Alligator mississippiensis: one gene and its partner. The main gene of each other region encodes a partner of the protein of the gene in region 2 in a complex. Links are inferred from orthologs where the notes say so. Each region holds a gene or a part of one and is shown on either strand. Other genes may lie near its edges.

The links.
Region 1: the proteins of WDR20 (region 2) and USP46 are in contact, whole or in part, in a crystal structure (PDB 6JLQ), measured with the Homo sapiens proteins. The link is inferred for Alligator mississippiensis from reciprocal best matches to the Homo sapiens genes WDR20 and USP46. Residues at the interface, in NP_653175.2 of Homo sapiens: Asn41, Ser42, Gly44, Arg151, Lys259, Tyr261, Phe262, Gly263, Glu282, Asp283, Asp284, Leu285, His301, Lys304, Ser305, Trp306, Gln374, Asp375, Thr376, Leu509, Arg516, Met517, His533, Glu534, Arg535; in NP_073743.2 of Homo sapiens: Asn205, Thr206, Ser207, Thr209, His210, Arg213, Arg273, Val275, Phe276, Pro277, Glu279, Leu280, Arg281, Phe283, Asp293, Met295, Gln338, Glu342, Tyr344, Thr347, Ser348.

Annotation. Positions count from the first base shown.
Region 1 is NC_081825.1:58,528,135-58,535,029, forward strand, and holds the start of USP46 (ubiquitin carboxyl-terminal hydrolase 46), read right to left. Parts: upstream 3,004-6,895; 5' UTR 2,679-3,003; coding exon of another isoform or gene 2,643-2,678; intron 1,816-2,642; 5' UTR 1,775-1,815; coding exon 1,694-1,774; intron 1-1,693. UniProt on the Homo sapiens protein: Deubiquitinating enzyme that plays a role in behavior, possibly by regulating GABA action. May act by mediating the deubiquitination of GAD1/GAD67.
Region 2 is NC_081825.1:284,945,657-284,953,290, reverse strand, and holds the start of WDR20 (WD repeat-containing protein 20), read right to left. Parts: upstream 3,004-7,634; 5' UTR 2,960-3,003; coding exon 2,696-2,959; intron 1-2,695. UniProt on the Homo sapiens protein: Regulator of deubiquitinating complexes. Activates deubiquitinating activity of complexes containing USP12. Anchors at the base of the ubiquitin-contacting loop of USP12 and remotely modulates the catalytic center of the enzyme.

The DNA of each region.
Region 1 (6,895 bases), about 230 Mb from region 2:
GTAGTACACAGTTATATCCACACACAGCCTTTGTTTTACAAGGCTAAGCAAGCGAAGATCTTTTAGTTTCCTCTCACTAAATAGGTTCTCCATTCCAGTGATCATCATAGTAGCCCTTCTCTGCACCTGTTGCAGTTTGAATTCCTCCTTCTTGAACATGGGTGACCAGAATTGTACAAATTATTCTAGATGAGATCTTACCAGTCCCTTGAACAATGGCACTAATGCTTTCTCCTTTGTACTGGTAGTGCCTCTGCTAATGACATCCTTATTTGTATTACTCTTTCTCCACCTTACTATTTTGTTTTCTTCTTTTTGGGAGTCTTTTAGATCTCTTGGCTCCCCCTGCAACAGAGTATGTATCACAGAAGTCATCTTATTTAGGGTTGACCTAGGTTCCTCTAGGGTCCACTGATATAGCTCCTTCGAGCAGCTATGCTCATTTTCAGAGGTCCAGTAACTAGAGCATCACCAACTCTTATAGTATTTTATGTCTTTCTTAAATTCTCTTCGCTTCCTGGAATGCTGCAAGAATCTCAGCTTTCTTTTTTTCCCAAAAGAGGTTCTAACCTCTGTGGCTATAGTGGTCAAAGCTTGTAAACAGAACTAGAATCACCCAAAGATGCAAAAAGCAGAATACAACAATCCCAATATTCATTTCCTTTTAAAAACCATTATTTTTGCATCAAGCTTATGACATGTAGATATCTGAATTGTAGTATTTTTACACTTTGTGTTACCCATGCTGAATACAAATGCATCCTTTCCTCAAAGGCTGAGTCTGCTCCTTCCACATTCTTGTCACCCAGGACACCAGGAAGAGAGTAAGGAACCAAACTTAGTCCTGAAGTATGAGTTGTTCTCACTTGTTCTGTTCTTGTTCCCCCTTTTCTGTTTGACTGCTTCATTGCCCTCTTTAATTCCTCCATTATATTAAAATGCTACTTTTGCAGATGTCTATTGATAGTAGTAAGAGCAGCACTAGCCTGAATTAATGCAGGCCTAGTTCAGTTTTGTGTGATGCCCTCCTAGACCCCGAGGGAGAAATATTATGCAAAAGCTTGTCTATATGGAAAAATCTGGGCACGTGTTATGAAAACAGAGGTTTCTTAAGGCTGCATGCCAATGTTAAATCTTTGTAACCAGCTATCAATCTCCAGCTTCCCTTCATGTGATGCTTTGTTATGCATTTTTATGGTGATCACATCCACCATTCATCAACAATATAAACTGAACGCTGCCTATAGGGTAAGGTAAGTAAATCCAGGTTTTTCTCCCCCAATACCGCATGGTTTCCTAAATATTTCTTTGCAATATGCTTGCCTCTTGTCCCATGTGGTTAAAAAAAATAAGTGCAATAAAAACTTTAGAAAAATCACATAATATTGGAGAGGAAAGGTAAGAACCCAGATTATCTTACCCCAGGGATTCTCAACCTTTTTCATAGTATGATCCAAGTCCAGTCCTCCAGTAATACACCTCAGCACAGGTGCTTCAAAGGTGGTAGTGAGGACCTGGTAGAACTGTGGGTGGGGTGCTCCTGGCATCCAAGAATGACTGGTTGCAAGCAAACCCACTTCAGTGGAAGACTGGACCCAGACTGAGAGCAGGCTCACAACCCTCATCCCCCTTGAACAACTGCTGGTGGCCCCCATGGAGGTCACAACTCAGAGGTTGAGAACCACTGCCTTACCCTATAGGTAGGCTCCATTCTCCAGTGCTGATGAATGGTAGGTGTGACATCACCAGCAAAGGGTATGCTGGGGCACCACATGGAGGGAAGCTGGCGACTGCAAGTAACTGCTCTTGAAGAACCTGAAAACAAGGGGGAAAAGCATAAACTAAAACAACAAAGTGCTGGAATGTGCACTTGCCCTATTTGTTTTGGACATTTAACACTTCCTCCTGACATGGATTTATTTTGTTTGACTGCTTTCATTCTAGAATTACTGAATAAATCGCTCGCCAGAAAGTCTTAGAGCCCCCAGATAACAAACATCTTAAAAATCCACAGGCAACGTGGCCTAATAAACCAGCCTTGACAGTCACAGTGTCAAAATGAAAAGTATACTTGAATGTACACTGCACAACCCTCCCTGTCCTCGAGCAGTGGGGCTGCGGGGGGCAAGGACCCAACAAAACAGAGACAAAATGTTCCTGTTTAAATGCACTTTTGGGATCTTTTAGAAGACCATGGGAAAGGTGACGTGTTTCAAAATGCACTACAAGGATCATATGGGGCTGAAAGCAATGCCCATTTGCATCCACTGAAATCCCAGCTGGGTGGGGGTTTGGAAATGCCTTACAGGGGGTAGACTAAGCAGGCGGACCTGGACCCGCAGCTAAGATTTTAAAGCTGGTGCCCAAGTCCATAATGAGGTGCTTAAAGAAGCACCTGGATTTGGTGAAACAATTGAGTGTGGGTGACTGCAGCGCGGGGGGGCGGCTGTTTGGGAAATGAAGCTGCCTACTCTAGGAGCCTACCCAGGGATTTAGGATCCTGACTCGGGCCTCTTTCTTGGAGGTCCTGGCGCCAGGGGCAGGGGGCAGCGAGAGGCAGCCCCCTCCCCCGGGGCATTGGGGGCGGAGTTGGAACCCTTCGGCCGCCCGCCCCCTCCCGGCCCGGCCGTGCGGGTACTCACCATATTACAGATGGAGGCGATGTTTCTGACAGTCATGAGTCTAAAGGTTGCAGCGATCGCCCACCGCCATCTTTACCAGGGGAAAACAGAAGGGCTCATGGCTGGGGGCAGCAGGAGCAGCACCAGAGCCCCCGGGCAGGCGGCGGCGGGCGGCGGAGCATGGGCTGCCGGCCTGCCTCTGCCCTCCCCGCGGCGGCTCCTCGGAGCAGCCGATTCAGCAGCACTGCACGGCCGGCCGCAGCAGCCCCCGCCCCCGCCCCCGCCCGGCGGCCCGGTTCCCTCGCTCCATCGCGGCACGGCGCAGCTTAGCGCAGAGCCCGCGGCAGCGCTGACAGCTCCGGGCAGCGCGGCGCGACTGGCATCCGCGCCTGCCAACCCGCCGCCCGGGCTGCTCGTGCGGCAGCCAATGGCGAGGCGGGGAGGACGGGCAGGTGCCGCCCCCGAGCCTTGCGGGCGGCGGGGCGGGGCGGGGCGGGCTCTTGGCCTGGCCGCAGCTAATCGCCTTCGCGGCTCCTGCGGGGGTGGGGGCGGGGCGGGGTCCCGGCGGCGGCCTAATGAAGCCGCAGGGTTTTGTTGTGTATGAAACAGCGTGAGGTGTCGGGAGCTTTCCAGACCCCACCACGGACTGCCCTGCGCTGCGCTGTCCCCTGCTTCCCAGACACACCTGAAGGTCCCTGGGGACTGTGCCTCCGCACGTGGGGCCGAAGAAATAAGGACTGGGCGTTGGCGCTGCCATAGCACCTCCTGCCCCGGGGTCAGAGCTAGGGCGGCCATTTGTCCCGTTTCATAGAAGTGGTCCGGTTTTCTGGTCCTCCGTCCTCTATTGATATGAAACTGGATGCCTTTATATCCTCTATTTTTCACCAGTTGGCACCCCCTGCCCCCCGTAGTGCCCTGCAGGAGCTTGCCACTCAATGCCACCACGCCCCGCCACGGCTGCTTGCAGGGGCTCAGGGTGCCCCCCAGCTTCAGGAGGCACACGACATTCGTGGTGGGCCTCAGTGCAAGTGTCCTCTTTTCTTGAGATACCTTAATGGCCACCCTAATCAGAGCACTTGCCAACCATCAGTGAACTGAGGCCCACAACATACTGGGAACATGACTATGCTGCTCCCGTACGGCACGACAAAGACTTGTGTTGAGACACAATGCGCTCACACTTTCTCCCCAGAAATGGTGGGTGATGGCCCAGGACACCATGGTCAATGGGGTGCCACACACACACATGTGAGCAGTAGGAGCCCTCACAGCAGCACTTCCCCTGTCCCACCCCGCCCTGGCAGGAGGAGCAGTGCCCAGTCTAGCCTTCCCACCACCTCCCTTCCACCTCCAGCTGTTGCTCAGGTAGGGTGGCCATCATAAAGGACATTTCGGTTTTCTGCTACTCTATTGATACGAAATGACCAAATCGTTGATTATCCAAATTAGCATAAAATCTTAGGATTCGGTTAAATCTAATCAGGGACAGTGATCCGAATCAACTAATTGAATTGCTGTCCCTGATTCAGGCCAAATCCGAATCGATTTGAATTTGGCCTGTTTCACACACCCCTAGTACTAGGCACTTGCCTTGCTGGCACACACCCAGTTCTGCATTAAGGCAACCACTTTACCCCCAGAGAATTAAACACTGCAAGAATAACTATACGGGGCAAAAGACATGTTTTTCTCTTCATCTCCCTCTCCCTCATTTCCTCCTCCTCCCTCCTCAAAGCCTGAAAGCTAATTTGGGTATACTTTTGACCACAGTAGGATTCTAGACAATAGCAGCTTCACTGTGCTGGGGCCTGAACCCACAGCATTTAGGTAGGCAAAACACCCTAAAATCAATGGAACCTGTTTTTTTCCAGAATAAGGTCAGGTCTGCGATCATTAATAAAAGATCAAGAGGACTGAAAATGAAATGTTACCAGCAGAATGCTGTTATTTGGTTTTAGTAATATATGTTGCTGGCCACAGGCCACTTCATAGTGAACGAATGCCAATATTACAAAAGTCACCATCCAAATCGACACTAATTTGGTCTGCTGACAGTTTCAGTGGAGAGGCCAAGGACTGAGATACTGTGGAGACGAACTACTGTCTTATCCCTAGTAGCCTGAATTCATCGTTACTAATCAGAGTAAACACATGTTAATGCCATGGTGGGGGAGTGGGGGAACCAGATGTTAAGTTCCACCTGTATGTTTACCAGAGCTATTAAGCCAGGTCCCCCAATAAGTACAAAATTTACTTTATATAAAACTCAAATAAACACAGAAGCAAATTTGTCTTTCATCCTCCATTGACTTCATGGAATTACACACGGATGAATTCAATCCTGTGAATTGAATTTCATTAGACCTAGATTCTCAGCTGCACCAGAGCTATGCCTAACCCAGCTAAGGGGAAGCTGGTGGGAATCAAGAGGTGACATTACACACCTCTCCACTTGGCTGCTGGATCAGTCAGGGCCTGGAATAGACTCCAATGTGCATGAGAAGCCAACTAGTAGCTCTAAATCATACAGATGAGCCACATAGGTATCATTTTATCAGCCACTGATCATTAGAGTGCTATGCCTTTTGCTGTCCCTAGCCTGCTTCAAACATGTCACTTTCCTTTCGTAAGGAACAGACGGCAAAGACCTGAGTGCTGGCTTTATACTGTAAAGGGATTCCTACGACATTGACAGTGCCCCACTGCCACTTTCAAGACCTCTTTCAATTAGTGGAGCATCACGAGGATTCGATCCAGGCTAATAATCTGGCCCTAATATTATTTTAGCTCACTTTTTTAGTTCATAATGTGTACATGTGAAGGCATGCAATAATTGCAAATGCAACACTGATTACTGCAAACATCAAGTCAAGACAGAAGGTAAGACTTTAAAAACAATCTTTAAAAGTCTTGAAAAAATAGCTATCATGGAATAATCAGCACACAACATTTAGTTATTATTTGATTTTTCTACTGATATAAGTGACTAGCAGCATTGTAAAACTCCTCATTTAGCTTTTAACATTAAAAATAAATACCACATGTATCAATCATGAGGTACCGAAATAGTTCATGTTTCTCCCAATCAAAATGGTTTGTGTTAGCGGTGCATTTCAGGAATAGGAATAAGAAAGAAATGAATCTGAAACAGTTCAAAGTAATTGTATTGAGATGAGACCAAGTAAATCTGGTCTCATCTCAATACAATCTCTGGTCTTTATTTGCAAGTAAATCAAGAAACATGAAAAAATACTTCTTTAAATCTTAAACATTTTAACATTAAAAAAGCCAAAGTCTGTCTGTCCATAACGCTTTATTCACACTCTGATTGACTATGGAAACAGGCAATCAGAGTGCTCCAATCATGGGGGAGCACTGCCATGATTCCAAAGCTGCGCTGAGGCCTGGACAGAGGGTGGGGGAACCAAAGCCAGCAGCGCTCCCTGCAAGCGGCACCAAGGACTGGACAGGCGGTGGGGGAGCCGAGGCCAACAGCACTGGCCTCAGCTCCCCCATCCTGCTCCCTGGAAGAGGCAGAATAGTGGCAGCATGGGGTGTTAGGTGGCAGCACTCCATCCCAGCCCCCTCCCCCTTGTCATTCTTGATGGGCAATTGGCTAGTTTCATATAAAAGTGATGATGAGATTAGGGAAAAGACGACTGGAAGGAAAGATACAACAATGGATAAGACAATGTAGAAACAACTTTATAGAATGCCAAGTAGTGCCATAGAAAAAAATATTTAGTAGCAGAATTATGGATTGATTCAACAGTCTACAGCCTGAAAGAATGCTGTGAAATGTTTGTAGTTTATCAAGAAAGGATACCAAAATAGTTTGTTTGGCACTGGGTAATTTACAAGGTTTGATTGGCATCTGTGCCCGCCTCCGCTCTATTGTACGCTTCCGCGCCACCTTTGCCCGAGCAGCTGATCTTGCTTGCCAGGGACCTACGTGCAGACCGCAGAGGGCACCTCGGCTGTCTTCAGGGTGACCTCCTAACTCACCTGCCACGACTCTGAGTGGTTCTTTAGTGTGGGGGGGGGTCCCCTTTGAGGGTGCCTCGAGTCCTCACGCATCTTGGCGGGCGTTCACGGGGCTCCAACCTCCCCTACACCCAATGTGCCACCCTTAGAGACGGGCCTCTGAGTCTTTTTGCGGCTATCCCCCTACTGGTGTCTTCCCTGGTCTCTGCGTTGCCTCTCGACGATGACCACCCAGGGCCCTGGCTGAACCTCGGTGGGAGGGTCTGGAGACCCTCAGCTTTTGGGCTTGT
Region 2 (7,634 bases):
TCTCTCATAGCACAAAAGCAGTTTTATACCCCAATCATCTTTGTTGCCCTTCTCTGAACCTTTTCTAAGTCAGGTATATTCTTTTGAGATGGAGTGACCAGAACTGCAAGAAGTCAAAATGTGACTGTACTACATTTTATGTAAGAACATTTTCCATTTCTTCATATAAATTCCTAATGATACTTAATATTTTTAATTTGCCTTTTTGACTACCAGTGCACTGTGAGCTCATGTTTTTAGAGAAATTTCCACAGGGACATCAAAATCTTTCTTGAGTAGTAATAACTAATACAGAGGCCATCACTGGGGATGTATAGCCTGGGTTATTTTTCCCCCTTTGGCAGGGATCATTTCAATGCTGATATGCCTCTTTATTACCCTCAGTTTTAAGAGATTTTCCTGCAACTCCATTAGCCTTAGTTTTGATTATCAAGAACAAAATTGTATCACCTACAAACTTTGCCACTTAACTACCTCCCTTTTCCAGATCATTTCTGAATGTGCAGAACAGCACAGGTCCCAGCATAGCTCTCTGAAGGACCTCACCGTTTACCTTCCTCCATTCTGAAAAGTCACCATCTAATCCTACACTTCAACTCCTACCCTTTAACCAGTTTTCAGTACGTGAAAGGGCCTTCTTCCCCTTCTGATTCCAGGACAGCCTACTTTCTTTCAGCTTTTTGCAAGAGACTGTCAGCGGCTTTTTGCAAATCCAAGTATACTGTAACAACTGTATCCTCCTTATCCACACATGCTTGTTGCCATACTCAAAGAACTCCAGCAGACTGCTAAGAGAAAGTTTTGCATATCTAAAGGTTTCTTTATATCAGTAATGCTCATTGGAGCCACTACTCAGAAAGCAGTTGCAAGAGTTTAATAATTTACTTTGCAACTCTTCCATAGCTGAATCAAGTATTATATATATTAAAGAAGAATCAGTAACCTGCAAAAAAGCTCTGCTACAGAAACAGTTATCTAAACCTGGTGGAAAGCCCGTGCCCCTAGTAGAGGTCAGTGGAATAATTCACACTGACTTCAGTCAAAACAAGAGACTTTTAACTCTAGTTGGCAATAAGAAAGATGTAAAAATAACAATTTATTTTGTAGTTTCAACAAGACGACAAATTTGCATGTGTTATAATTAACTTAAAGTTTTTGAACCGATTTATTCTAAATGGATTAGGAAAGTAACCAAGTCTATTGAAGAAAATTATTTTTAAAAAAGAAAAAAAAAACTTTAACCCTCAAGTTACATAAATAAAACTATCATCTCTTTTATAGCCTTTATCAAATTGGTAAAATTGCTGACAAGCTCTTAAATACAAATTTCATTACAACTCTCTTGTATGTTTTACAATGTTGTTCAGAGGAAAACAGGCATCTAGTATAATGTTTATTCTTATGCATCAAAACCCCTAAGTTAGACACCCAATGGGCAGATATAGGAGCATTTTCAACAGCATGTAATGAAGTGAGCTCAGGCTCACAAAAGTTCATACTATGCATGTCTTATTTAGTTAAGGATGCAAATCTACTCTGCCTTCAACATTTTACCCACCCACAAACGTAAATACCATTTTACTGAAGAGATACTGAAAAACTATTTAAAAACAGCAAATAAAGTGTATAAACTTTAAAGCTGGCACGTAGAAGTTTCCTGGTCTAGAGACACTCTCACCCATTGGATTTTTCTTTACTTTTAAGAAAGATCAATTAAAAAAGGAGATTGGCAAGGGTCACATGTACTGTAATTGGGCTACATGAAAGCCTGCTCCAAGTAAAACAGTTGCAGAAATCTGCAGCTATTCCCTACACACAACAGACACAGAAGTCTAGATTATATGGGTGGCAGAATAAAGAGAGGAGGCTGCTGCCAGTGATCTGTGGACACTGCATCCTCCCTATAGAAAGGAAAGTAGTAAAGCTAGCAACTGTTTCGCATGAGTGAGAAATATTTCTGTTCAAACACCAGATACTTTTCAGGAACTTAAAAAAAGACCAGTTGATAATTAAGTCTTGAAATTCACAAATGTGGCTGAGAGCCGCCCAAACAAGCCGGACTGACCCAGCAGGCATGAAGGCGAACAAGCGCATGTACCCATTTCACAGAAACTAGTAATGGATGGGATCCAGTGGGCCCTCAGTCACTGACAACCGAACCTCAGCTCCTGGCTGTGCTTAGCAAGGAGCGGTTGGGGCACTCCCCAGGGACCCCGGAGACCCAGGCAGCATTTCCACAAGCCTCCCCTCATGACCTTGGGCAAGTCGCTGGCTCTCCTCGTGCCTCGGCTTCCCACCCCGACCGAGCACAGGGGCCCGGGGGGGGGGGGGGGGGGGGGGGGGGCGAGGGTCCCAAAGGCGGTAGAGATTACACACCCCTCTCTCCCTATGCCGACATCGCTGCCTCTGCCCACGTCCAGCAGCGCAGTTGTCTCCTGGCCCAGGGAAAGAAGCCAGACCGGGGCCTCGAGCACTCACGGGGCACCAACAAGAGACTGCGATCAGGGGACGGCCGAGGCCGGCCAGGCCCCGCGCAGCGACACGGGCCAGCGCCGGGGGCACCTGGCGGCAAAGGCCCCGCCGCGCGGGCGCAGCCCCGCCTGACGCAGCGCGTCCCCCGGGCCTGGGCTCCCTCCCCCGGGGCACAGCTGCGGGCGCAGGCCCCCACCCCGCAGCAGCCCCGGCCCCGCGGTACCTTGCGGACCCCCTTGTAGATGTAGAAGTAGAGCTCCCGGCCCACATTGAAGCAGAGCCGGTCGCCGTTGCCGCTCTGGTCGTTGACGTTGACGAAGGAGACGCGGACCGGGTTGGAGCCCTGCGAGTTGAAGGGCACGCGGTTGGGCCGGCTGTACTCCGAGTGGCTCAGCAACTTGTACACCCCCTCCCGGGTGGTGAACTGGGTCTTAATCTCGTTCATCTCCTTCCCTCCTCCCTCCGCCGCCATCTTGGAAAGGAGCATTCATCCTGCCCCAGTGCCCGGATGTAGCCCCACTGCGCAGGCGCCGCCGCTCACTCGCCCTGCCCGGGGGCGTCCGCGCAGGCGCCGTGCTGGGGGAGGAGCCGCTCGCCTGTTTACGGCGCCACTGCGCATGAGCGGGCGGGGCTGCTGCCCGCTTAGCCCCAGCCGCGGAGGGGGGCGGGGCTTCTCCTCGTGGAAAGGGTGGGAATAGAGAGGGGGAGGGGGGGGTAGCTGTCCAGCGCATGCGCAGAGGCGTAGTAAACAGGCCACCGTGCTCTGGCCCACGTGCCTCCCCAAGGTGGATAAAAAAACGATTAAAAAAAATATATTTTTTTTTTTAATTTCAAACAGATTTTTTTTTAATTTAATCTTTTTTTGGTTAAGATGCTTTTTTAAAAAAACCATATAGAGTTTTAATTTATGTTAAAGCTCAAAGGTATCATGGAATTGGGATTATAACTTATAGTCATATACTATTTGAGACAATATATTCATTAAACCTTTTTAGATGTTTTATTAATAGGTCACAGCAGGCCATGGGCTATATATTAGGGGCCCAGATCCTGCCTGACTAACCTTGTTTCCTTTTATGACCAGGTCACAAAGTCCTTGGATGCAGGTGTTGAGGTGGATGTCGTCTACCTGGACTTCAAGAAGGCCTTTGACACTGTTTCTCACCCCATGCTCATAAAAAATCTAGGCAACTGTGGCATTGATGCCTACACAGTCAGATGGGTGGCAAATTGGCTCAATGGTCGTACCCAGGGAGTGGTGGTGGACAGGTCATTTTCAACCTGGAGGGATGTGGGCAGTGGAGTTCCCCAGGGCTCGGTCCTTGGGCCTGTGCTATTCAACATCTTTATCAGTGACTTAGAGGTGGACGTGGAAAGCACGCTGTCCAAATTCACTGATGACACAAAGATGTGGGGGAGAAGTGGGCACACTGGAGGGGAGGGACAGAATTCATCTAGATCTAGACAAGTTACGGAGGTGGGCAGATGAGAATAGGATGGAATTCAATGCAGACAAGTGCAGGGTGCTGCATCTATGGAGAAGGAACCTGCAGCATACCTATAGGCTAGGGAACACCCTTCTTATTAACACAGTAGCCGAAAGGGATCTTGGAGTCATTGTTGACTCCAGGACGGACATGAACAGCCAATGCAAGGAAGTGGTCAATAAGGTAACTACACCTTGTGCATCTACAGATGCATCACAAGCAGGTCCAGGGAAGTGATCCTTCCCCTCTATGCAGTGCTGGTTAGGCCATAGTTGGAGTATTGCATCCAGTTCTGGGCACTGCACTTGAAGAGGGATGTGGCTAACCTTGAGAGGGTTCAGAGGAGGGCCACTCGTATGGTCCAGGTGCAGCAGGCCAGGCCCTATGAAGATAGACTAAAGGGCCTGAATCTATTCAGCCTCCACAAGAGAAGACTAAGAGGGGATCTGGTGGCTGTCTATAAATTTGCCAGGGAGGACCAGCAGAAAATAGATGAGGCTGTGTTCCCGTGGGCATCACCTGGAATAACAAGGGATAACAGCCACAAATTGATTGAAAGCAAGTTCAGGCTTGATACCAGGAGGCATTACTTAAGCCATACATTATGGTTAGGGCTGCCAGGCTCTAGAATGGGCTCCCAAGGGAAGTGGTGCGCTCCCCTACCTTGGGGGTCTTCAAGAGGAGGTTGGATAGATATCTGGCTGGGGTATTATGATCCCAGCACTCATTCCTGCCCAGGGCAGGGGGTCGAACTTGATGATCTGTTCAGGTCTGTTCTGCCCCTAGAAACTATGAAACTGGATTTGTGTCTCTAGAGCACATAGACAGACAAGGTTCTTTGGGTAGATACAATAGCTTTTATTAGACCAACTAAATAGTTGAAAAAATTGTTCTTTGCAAACTTTTGGGCACAAACGCCCTTCTTCAAGCACAGGGGGAGCATGTTGTCTCTAGAGATAACATCCTTGTGAACAGCAGTGTATGGAGGTGAGAGCGAACAGACCTGATTACCCACTCATCAGCCCTGTTGTCTCTCTGCAAGTTTGTGTACACACAGTCAAGCCCTTACCTCTTAGTGCAAAGTTTCAAGAAGTTAATAAAGGATATCAAACTACAAGAATGCACTTTTTTTAGAAACCAATTATTAAATCGAGGCTCCCTTACCAGTGATTTAAATCATGATTTAATTTGATTTGAATCAAATCCACCCTGGTTTTCCCGTCTTGCAGCAGAGAGCAGGGGTTTGCTTAGGGGGGAGGCAGGGGATCTTCTGAGGGTGACACTGATTAGAGGCGCTGGTGCTTCTGCTGGGGGTTAGGGCCTGGAAGGCAAAGGAGGTGGGGGGCAGTGAGAGCTGCAGTGGGGAGAGGCCCTGGTGCCTGGAGTGGGCAAAGTTGTCAAGCTCAGTCTTCCCCCTGCATTTCAGTAGCCCACACCCAGGCTAAGGTGCACTAGAATGAGTGTGGGTCTGAGCCTCTGGGTCTGGTGATGTGGGTCTGACACCAACACACTCCTGAGGACATCTCGCCTCTGGGGACAGTGTTGCTGCAGACCTGTTAAGAGGCAATAAAGGCATGAGTGACCAAGGCAGAAGGAAGTTAGAGTTGCACCTGTCACAACCCAAGTTGTGAGTTTTTGTTTTGTGTGCTTCGGCACAGCTAAATTGCTCCCCGCTAAATTGTTCCCTCCAAATTGCAGCTTCTTTGCACGGTGGAGTTTTCTGCTGCAACAGAGAACCCCGGGTGCAAAAGAAGTTCCCGCCAATTCGTAGCTTTCTTTGCAGTGTGCATTTCTAAGTTGCAGCACGGTGATGCACGTTGCAAAGAGTTCCTGCCATTTGTATTCTAATTCGAGCCCCATTATTGGTTTACGTTAAATTATTCACATGTGACAGCTAGCGATTGGCCTGCTAGCCGTATAAAAGGCTTGTGTGGTTTCCGCCCTAGTTGGAGGACTCCACGAACACCAGGAGAAGGAGACTTCACGCTGTGTGAAGATCTCTAAGCGCTGCGGATCCTCACGGACCCAAAGCATTTTAAGCAGGCAACAGAGGTCTGATCAGCCTCTAGCCTCTCCCCGTCGCCGTACGATCCTAGACGTATCCTTCCCTGCACGCCAAAGAGACGGATCCACGGAGCCTAGCAAACTTCGTGTGAGTGAGTCTATTCAGAGCTCTTTACCGGACGGACTTTCTCCGGTTGGTCTGACAGGCTCGCGGTTTAGAGCCTCCAACCGGATGGGCTAGAAGAGTGTTCCCGGAGGAACTCTAGTCCGCCTCTCTTCTTTTCTATCCGCAACTGTAACTCAAGCAAGTTCTCAGCCTGCACCGCGACCATCTCGGTGTAAGTAAACAATCTTAAAATCAACCGTTACGCGTCTGTGCCTAATTCTAGCTCGGCGACCTCCTTCTCTGACCCGGCCTGCCCAGGCTGCCGGCCACAGCCCGCGTGCAGAGCGACAAAAAGGGCCCGGGGCTTGACCCAGCCCGCACAGCACCTTGCAGACTAAATTGGAGATGTGCAAGCCTTACTAAGCAGCAGCTTCCTAGCTTCTGATGAAGCAAACTGTCGCTTACTTGTGTAGCTCTGATTCAGTCTGATGCCAATCTACCCTGCCTTCTGTCTGTGGCAAGCTAGTGTGGCTCCCTGTCTGAATAACTGAGGCCAGGTTAATGTCTGCCAGGGTTAGTGAGAGCCACTTATCAAGCCAAAAATGATAGGCAAGTTACTTGTGAGAATTTTAGTGTTAGTGAGGAAGCCAAAAGCATTCCCAAACTACATGTTGAATTGAGCAATTGTGCCTCAGTCAAAGGCGATTTCACCATGCAAACTCTTCAAACCCAGTTTGACCCCACACCTGTCAGGTTCAGCTTCAGCCAGCTGTTATTTCTCTGCAGGGCCATCTCAGTAGTAGTGGCTTAATAGCGTGTGGTGAGGGACTGGTAGAGCTGTTATCTGTTTATTGCCACCACTTGAGTCTTTATCAGACCAGTTGACATAGTGGTTGTTTAAAGAATTGATCCTTATGAAATTCCATGTAAGAGGGATCTACTGGAGGAAGCACAGTTTTCCTGTTACTACTTGTGGACTGTGTCCTTCTGAAAAGGACTCAGAATATTTCCTTGGATCCTTAATGCCTCTCTCAGGTAAAACATATCTCAAGGTCAACGTGCTACAGACAGTTTCAGGCAGATGAGAGTGGATGTCTGCCATCTATCCACTGACAGTAGATTTGTTCCTAACTTTATTTCAGCTACATGTCCTAGCCTAACTCCAGGGTGTGCTACATCTAGAATATTAGCTTCAGATAGTTAGGCTTCTCTAGCGATCTTTTGACTAAATTATCTATGAGCTTGTTTGGGAATCCTAAGTTTGACACTGGGGAGTACTGTCTAGAATCAATGCGTCTAAAGTGAGTTTCTTCAGTGTTTGTCAAACTACAGCACATTTGGAAATGAAAGAAAAGGTCACTTCTCTGAATGATGCTTTGGCTATTTTGATCTTAAATCATTGGTGACACGTAGGGGGTGCATGCGGGCGCATGTGCACCCCCTGAGATTGGCGATACACACTCTGAAAAGTGCTGCCGACACTGCCAGTGGTGCTGGCAGGCGGTCGCTGCTCACCATCCCCCGCCTCCCCACCACCGACACTACCAGTGGTGTCTGTGGGCAGT